2 linked regions of the Rattus norvegicus genome follow. The protein of the gene in region 1 interacts with the protein of each later gene in a pairwise test. Links are inferred from orthologs where the notes say so. Each region holds a gene or a part of one and is shown on either strand. Other genes may lie near its edges. The genes, in order: Xrn1 and Zfp36.

Evidence for each region.
Region 2: the proteins of Xrn1 (region 1) and Zfp36 interact in a two-hybrid assay, tested with the Homo sapiens proteins (2 studies listed by BioGRID). The link is inferred for Rattus norvegicus from reciprocal best matches to the Homo sapiens genes XRN1 and ZFP36.

Annotation. Positions count from the first base shown.
Region 1 is NC_086026.1:105,428,070-105,431,879, reverse strand, and holds part of Xrn1 (5'-3' exoribonuclease 1), read right to left. Parts: intron 2,128-3,810; coding exon 2,061-2,127; intron 1,868-2,060; coding exon 1,762-1,867; intron 399-1,761; coding exon 309-398; intron 1-308. UniProt on the Homo sapiens protein: Major 5'-3' exoribonuclease involved in mRNA decay. Required for the 5'-3'-processing of the G4 tetraplex-containing DNA and RNA substrates. The kinetic of hydrolysis is faster for G4 RNA tetraplex than for G4 DNA tetraplex and monomeric RNA tetraplex.
Region 2 is NC_086019.1:92,796,295-92,800,877, reverse strand, and holds Zfp36 (mRNA decay activator protein ZFP36), read left to right. Parts: upstream 1-1,769; 5' UTR 1,770-1,809; coding exon 1,810-1,851; intron 1,852-2,521; coding exon 2,522-3,460; 3' UTR 3,461-4,250; downstream 4,251-4,583. UniProt on the Homo sapiens protein: Zinc-finger RNA-binding protein that destabilizes several cytoplasmic AU-rich element (ARE)-containing mRNA transcripts by promoting their poly(A) tail removal or deadenylation, and hence provide a mechanism for attenuating protein synthesis.

The sequences.
Region 1 (3,810 bases):
TCATAACGATTATTTTTATTTTTCTGGTAGCACTAGGAAATAAACCCCAGACTTCTCTAGTCTTAGAGTTTGAATCCAGAACCTCATTCAAGTGCTTTATTGTAAGCTATTTCCCTAGCCCATTTTGATACAGACTGATACAGAATTTTGCAACTTTAGATTAACAAAGAATAGGGCTATAAATACTTTCTTAGTCTTTAAAATATTGTTATTTATAAAGACCATATTTAATTTAAACTTGACTGTATAGATATATGAAGATTAAGTAGAAATAGAAGGAAAGAGATGTATAAATGAGATGCCTTTACCAGCTCCAGGACTGGACTCCATGATAGTAATAGTGTAAGATCCACTGTATAGCCTGAACATAACAGGCAGCTTGATCAGCCAGAAACTCACTGAAACAGAAAGAGGCATTTTCAGCACAATGTTGTTTTCTGCAGATAGACCAATGTGTTCAGTGCATTTTTAATACCTAAAAAACTATAAACAGAAAAATTTTAATTTCTCTGAAATCCCATTTTGTCACATAAAAGGCTGTTTACCATTTTTCTAAACCAACTACCAACATAGTCGGTCCTGCTGTGTGTACCTAAGTCATCGTATGCCCTACTTTTGCCTTAAGAGTTTGGAGTCATCTAATAAACTTTCTACGAAGTGGTACCATCATCCTCTTAATTAGTAGGATTGAGAATAAACACAGAGTTCTCAGAAATCTCACAATAGCATTTACAACAACTTTTGAACAAGAGTCCCTTCTGGTCTCCTTTCTCAAAAGCCAAACATCATTATTAAGATTTGGGTTAAACAAATCTTCAAATCACCATAACAAAATAAGCCATAGTTTAAAGTAAAAAATTAGAAATCTCTTATCTTTGTATTTCCAGTAGGAATATTTATCTTTAAAATGTCTTACTATTATTAACTTGTTTATTTGTGTGTGTGTACACGTGCTATGATGCTTGTGTGGAGGTCATGAGATAACTTTCAAGAGTTGGTTCTCTTAGGTATGCTTTAAAATATGAATATATTACCTTCTTCTTTTGAACAATATTTCCTGATTGCTAGAAAGCTGAATAATGAAGAAAACCATTCTTATCCCCCACTAGCAATTGCTAGCTGTTTCCGTATGCTGCTTTACAGTCACTGCTAAGATGATGCTGTGCTATCTTGCCCTGTGGCTTTAGCTTCCCAAATAGCTCAGACTAGCCACACACGACCACCCCAAAGTTAGTCTTTGTTTACCCAATTTAAAAGGCTATCAGCATCTTCCTGAGTTGTTGGTGACTTTCTGCAATCACCATTTAACAGTGGTGCAGATTCTGGAGTTGAGGAGAGGAGAGATGATGAGTCAGAAGTTTAGAGCCTCCCTTTTTTTTTTTTTTTTTTTTTGGTTCTTTTTTTCGGAGCTGGGGATCGAACCCAGGGCCTTGCGCTTCCTAGGCAAGCGCTCTACCACTGAGCTAAATCCCCAACCCCTAGAGCCTCCCTTTTGAAGACAAGATCTTGCTATGGAGCTGAGCTGGGCATTTACACAGCTGCTAGGGATGAGAACGTGGTCCTCAGGTAGTGTGGCAAATGCTACCCACTAAGTTATCTCTGTAGCTCATCTTTTCAGTAATTTTATCATAGTGATAGAACACATGCCAGAATTACTATCAGGAAATGGACTTTGAATTTATGAAACCAATAAATCTCACACTACATCAAAATCATGTTGTTTTCTGAAGAACTTCAAAATAAAAGTCATCAAAAGCATACTCAGATACTACATCGACCCCCATCTTCGTCATGTAGTATGTTCTTTTATATTGTCTAAATTCAGTTTCAAACAGATCATCATCTTCAGTCTCATCTTCAAAATTATCTGTGAGAAAAACCAGAAAGATGTGACTGATAATCATGAATAGTGTTTGTGCTGTGACGCATGCATATCAAAGCTGATGCCGAGAGACTACTGTAGGGATGGATTCGGTTCACCACTGCTGGGTTAGCACTAATGAAGGAAGGCAGACAATGACCACGCCAATGCAATACACTAAACAAAAGCTTGTACTCACCTCTAGAAGCTACTCCTTCACCTTCTCTTTTGTCTAATGCAGCCCAACTTAAAGAATTTTCCTGGCCCTATAAAAAATTTTAAATCATCATAAGATGAACACTAAGATATATCTCTGAGTCAGATGTATAAAAGGGAGATTAGAAAAATACTAACTACAACTGAAATGATCTTTTTTTTTTTTGGTTCTTTTTTTCAGAGCTGGGGACCGAACCCAGGGCCTTGCGCTTCCTAGGCAAGCGCTCTACCACTGAGCTAAATCCCCAACCCTTTTTTAAAAGATTTATTTATTTTATGTATATGAGTACACTGTAGTTGTCTTCAGTCACATCAGAAGAGGCACCTGGGTTCCATTACAGATGGTTGTGAGTCACCATGTGGTTACTGGGAATTGAACTCAGAACCTTTGGAAGAGCAGTCAGTGCTCTCAACTGCTGAGACATCTCTCCAGCCCTGAAATGACCTTTAAAGAATACACTGTAGCAGCTTACTTTAAAATAATCTTCTCATTCTCAAGACTTTTGTCGTTCCAACCTACTATATCTATATTCATTTTCTGCCCCACTTTTTCTATATATATTTTATGATCTTAACCCTTTCTCTCTTGCTTTTGAATGCCTAGCTACTGACACTCATAAGCTTTTCTTCGTGTAACTCTGGCCTCTATGAACTTTATGCTCATGGGTCCTAGCTGCATGTATCTCTGGTATACATTCCTGGAAGACTGGAGAAGGTTAAAGACTGACCTAAGGTAGAGGAGATAGGAGTTATTAACATGTAGGTTTTGTGAATCCAGGTTCCCTTTCAAGTTTTTTCTTTTCTTTTCCTTTCTTTCTATTTGAGATAGCCTTACTGTGTAGTCCAGGCCTGCCCTAAAGGTCAAGATACCCAAGCCTCAGTTCCCTGCTGGCCTAGAGGTCTCAGAAGGGATCAGGAGTACAAGGCCAGCCAGGGCTACATGAGACCTGGTCTTGAATAAACAAGCAAACAAACAAATAAGAAAACTCCTAAGGCTCCAAACAAATATAAACTCAGTGCTCTGCTGTTTTCAAATGACACAACTTAAATAATTTATTCTAAAAGTTAACTTATTCACTTCTTTAAAACAAGTTTTTTATCTTATATGTATACAAGTGTTTGTCTGAAGTGTTTGTATGTACACAGCATGCATTCCCAGTATGCACAGAGGCCAGAAGAGGGTGGCAGATCCCCTGAAGTCGGAGTTATTGTAAGTTGCCATGTGGGGACTGGGAACTGAACCTGGATCCTCTGTAACTGCTCGTGACTTTTGAGCTATTTCTCTAGACCTATTTATTGGCTTCTTCTTCTTCTTTTTTTTTTTTTTTTCTTTTTTTCGGAGCTGGGGACCGAACCCAGGGCCTTGTGGTTGCTAGGCAAGCGCTCTACCACTGAGCTAAATCCCCAACCCCTATTGGCTTCTTTTTTTTTTCTTTTTTTTTTTCTTTTTTCTTTTTTTCGGAGCTGGGGACTGAACCCAGGGCCTTGAGCTTGCTAGGCAAGCGCTCTACCACTGAGCTAAATCCCCAACCCCCCCTATTGGCTTCTTAATAGAGGAAAAATATCACTATTCCTTAGAGGTGAAAATAAAAACTTAATTTTTCCCTTAAATATGTATTTGTGATATGAGAGAAACACAGAGACAGAAGCCAAAATAATTTTAGATGTTCATGGAGAAGAAATGAAAATGAAACAAGCCCCCTCATAAGGAAAATGAGAAACAAGGAATAGTA
Region 2 (4,583 bases), on another chromosome or scaffold:
CCTTCTTTTCCCGTTGTCCTCGAGACTGTTTACAACAGACTGGAACCCTGGTTACAAGAGAGGAACCCAAGCGTCCGGGCTGAGCGTCCTCGTCACGGCTTCCAGGAAGCCCCCTTCCCCCGCCCTAAGCGAGTGAGTCACGGGCAAGCGGGAGGCCGCAACCGTGCCACAGCAGCCTACGGCCCGCCCTGCTCACGGGACCAGCCCAGGAAGGCCCCTTGGCCCCAGAAAGCGCTGCACCAGGGATTCCCCACATACACACACGCGCGCGCGCGCGCGCACACACACACACACATACACACATACACACACACACACACACACACATACACACACACACACCCCTCTCCTATGAGGCAAGCCAGTGAGAAGCCTGGCAGAATCTCCCTATCTCGATACAAGTGCGCAACGCACCGTGCTAGAACTTCCCGGCATTGTAATTACACTCCTGGCAATGATAACCCCCATACACAAGAACAGTTTTTCACTGGAGATATCTTTGAAATAACACTTTTTACTTGGGTGTGGCAGCTATTTCTGTAATCCTAACACTACTTGGGTGGTGGAGACTGGAGGATCGCGAGTTCCAGGCCTGCTAAGGAGACCCGACCTAAAAACAAAACCCTTACAGACCTCGAGAGAGTTTAAAGTTTGCTTAAAGACTGCTTGCACTACAAGAAACCCATTCAACGTTGAAGGTGGCCCATATTTTTAATAGAGGCGAGCTTCCTCCCTAATAAAAGACTCAAGCTGTTACAGCCTTGAGCTTCGGAAGCAAAACCTCTTAATTTAAAGTGCAGCTTGGGTAAATGGGCTCTGTCCAGCCTTGCTAGACTTGGAAGGGCGCTGCTGAGCGAAGTAAAGTTCTGAGCGGTCCCTACCTGAGCCAACTGTCTTACAGGTTCTGTGCCTTCAGGTTTTAGTTTTTATTTCAACTTCCCTTTTCATCCTTCTGTAACCGGCTTCCTCACTGAGATTTGTGTCCCAGGCCCCTCTCCCTATTGTCTCCCCACTCCGTATAGGTCAGAACCAGGATCACAACCATATGCCAGTCTTTTGTTTCATGTGTATTCCTGGCTGTCCTGGAACTCGCTCTGTAAACCAGGCTGGCCTCGAACTCACAGAGATCCCTCTGCTTCTTCCTCCCAAGTGCTGAGATTAAAAGTTTGAGCCAACATCTGGGGCCTTTTTACTTTTTAAGACAAGAGTCTCACTAAGTTACCTAGGCTGCCCTAGAACCCACAATACAGTCGAGCCAGGCCTTGAAGTCCCAGACTCCTGCCTCAGCCTCCCCAAGTGACTGGAATCACAATCCCAAACCAGCGGGTCCAGTGTGAATGTCTCTCACTGTCTCTTTGTTTTTCTCTCAGCTTCTGGCCATCTCTGTCTCTACCAGCTTGTTTCTCCCCGCCCCCGTCTGTCTCACACGCACACGCCCTCTCAGTCTCTGCCCTTGTCAATTGTCCCTAGAGCCCTGCCCCCACTTCTGCCCCAGTTCTCTTCCCGACTACCTTCAACCTCTGAAAACTAGTCAGACGCCCCACTCCCATCACCACCAAATCTGTGGTACACAGCCCTCCCCACTAACCTCGTGGGAGAGGGCTGTGGGAGAGCCAAGTTCAGGCACATTGTGCATGCTAACCAGCAGATGGGCGGAAGGGGCCTAGTACCAGGCCGGCCGGGCTACGCCGCGGGGGCGCGTCCGGGAAGCTCTCGTGGCCACGCCCCCGGGCCGCCCCATAAAAGGCGAAAGCTCCTGCGGCGGTCCCACAGCCTGACTTCTGCGAACCGACTGTCGGTCTCTTCTCCATGGCCATTCGCGCCACCATGGATCTCTCTGCCATCTACGAGGTGAGTACTGGTTAGACAGCACTCTCGGATCCTCGACGCACCAAACTTAGGCCCCGGACGCCTCCATTCCTTCTCAGACTAGCCCTAACTGGCTGGAAGTGAGAGAGGGAGCCCGTGAGCCCGGCGCCTCGGTCTAGATACCGGCGATCCCCTGGGGACGGAAAGCTGGCGCACTGCTGTCACTCGCGCAGGGCGGAAGCGGCCCCACACCTGTCTAGTACCCTTCGCTGTCCATGGCGCGGTTTGGCGGCCAGGCAGGTGTTGAAGTTGAGCGGGGAGTTGACCCGGTCAGAGTCCTAGAGAGATCTGGCCTCCTGGGTCAGCTTTGGCCGGCTTCTCTAAGTTGTGAAACGAGCGCCCGATGGGCGGTCTTATCCGGGGAGGTCTAAAGGCCCAAAATTGGCGAGCAGCCGTGGTGCTTTGATTTGGGGGTACCCTCTCTCGATCCATCGGGGATACTGGGCTCCCTAGATCCTTCTGGATTAGCTTCAGTCATTTGTTAACACCCAAACCTCTGTAGTCAGGTTCTCCCTGAAATTTGTGAGCCGGGTGGGGCTCAGGCTGAGAACCCACAAACCGGAATGACAAGCTCGTGAAGTGCTTTACCACAGGGGCGGGGCGTCGTCACCTTACCTTTTCTGGTGGCCTAACCGAACCCTATTCTCCTTAGAGCCTTATGTCGATGAGCCATGACCTGTCACCCGACCACGGAGGAACTGAGTCCTCCGGAGGACTTTGGAACATAAACTCATCGGACTCCATCCCATCTGGGGTCACCTCTCGCCTGACTGGCCGCTCCACTAGCCTGGTGGAGGGCCGAAGCTGCAGCTGGGTACCCCCACCCCCTGGTTTCGCACCCTTGGCTCCCCGCCCGGGCCCTGAGCTGTCACCCTCACCTACTTCGCCTACTGCAACTCCCACCACCTCCTCTCGATACAAGACTGAGCTCTGTCGGACCTACTCAGAGAGCGGGCGTTGTCGCTATGGGGCCAAGTGCCAGTTTGCCCACGGCCCGGGTGAACTGCGCCAAGCCAATCGCCACCCCAAGTACAAAACGGAACTCTGCCACAAGTTCTACCTCCAGGGCCGCTGCCCCTACGGCTCTCGATGCCACTTCATCCACAACCCTACCGAGGACCTGGCTCTCCCTGGCCAGCCCCATGTGCTCCGACAAAGCATCAGCTTCTCAGGCTTGCCTTCAGGCCGCAGAACCTCACCACCACCTCCAGGCTTCTCTGGCCCTTCCCTGTCCTCTTGCTCCTTTTCGCCTTCCAGCTCCCCACCACCGCCTGGGGACCTTCCACTTTCCCCTTCTGCCTTCTCTGCTGCCCCTGGGACCCCTGTGTCTCGAAGAGACCCTACCCCAGCCTGTTGTCCCTCCTGCCGAAGGTCTACTACCCCTAGCACCATCTGGGGGCCCTTGGGTGGTCTGGCTCGGAGCCCATCTGCACACTCTCTGGGATCCGACCCTGATGATTACGCCAGCAGCGGCAGCAGCCTGGGTGGGTCAGACTCGCCTGTCTTTGAGGCCGGGGTGTTTGGGCCTCCTCAGCCCCCTGCACCCCCAAGGCGTCTTCCCATCTTCAATCGCATCTCTGTCTCTGAGTGACAAGTGCCTGCCCAGTGTGGATCAGCTAGATCTCAAAGAAGAGGGAGGGAACTGCTCGTTGCTGTGGGGACCTGGGGGGACTCCTCTAAGTCCCTCCTCCTGGACATTCCAAGTTGCATTAACCCATTCCCCTGGTGCTGGGCTAGGGCAGGTCCCTAGTTTGCAAATTCAGTGTTTGGGTGGATCCGTTCCTAGGGTACCTGAGATGTAGCATGTTTGAGGGGTACAGTTGACAGTTGATCTTCCAGGTCTCAAGTCTTATGTTGTTTCTGAGATAGGGGATTATTACGGTACCCCAGGCTGGCTTTGAACTCAATATAATCCTGCCTTAGCCTTTTCCAAGTTCTGGGGTTACAGGTATGCACCAGCCCCTCGGAAACTCTGGTCTCCTGGAATCTTAAGTGCTGTGAAGAGCCGGCTCCCACAATACTATCCTAATTTTTACTAGACCCCGAAGTTCAGTGTCCGGTGGTTGTAGCCTCTCCTGAGAATCCTGGTGCTCAAATTTCCCTCCCAAAGCAAATAGCCAAAGCCATTGCCAAATCCCTTTTCCCCCACGCCCCTGCCCCAACCAATGGACCCTTTATTTATGACGACTTTATTTATTGTAATAAGATTTTATAGTATTTATATATATTGGGTCGTCTACTCCGTTTTTCTTTTTGTAATGTTAAAACTGATACTGTATTAAGTATATACTATAATATATTAAGTAATATATTGTTACCGTACAAGTCTATTTTTGTGGGTTTTTTTGGAATTTTTAAATAAAATCTTGAGTGTGAACTGTGATGAAATTTGTTTTTTTCCGTGGTCCACAGCCTTGTGATGGTGGGTAAACTGACCTCCAGACCTTCCTGTGAGCACTGCTGCCGGGGGGGGGGGGGGGGGGGGGGGGCGCTTACCTGGCAGGAAGTGACGTTAGCCCGGTTGTTCACCTGAGGAGGCGTGGCGGGATGAGGTCACCCAAAAGGAACAAGGAGAGCTAGTTCTCTTGGCTAAGGGGTGCTCCAGGCCTGTCCCTCCGGCTCTTGACCCAGCTCGGGCAGGGACAGGATGTTTCCGTCCCCACAGGGCCAAGGAAGGAGGGAGGGGTGGGGCGGGGCGGCGAGGACGGAATGTG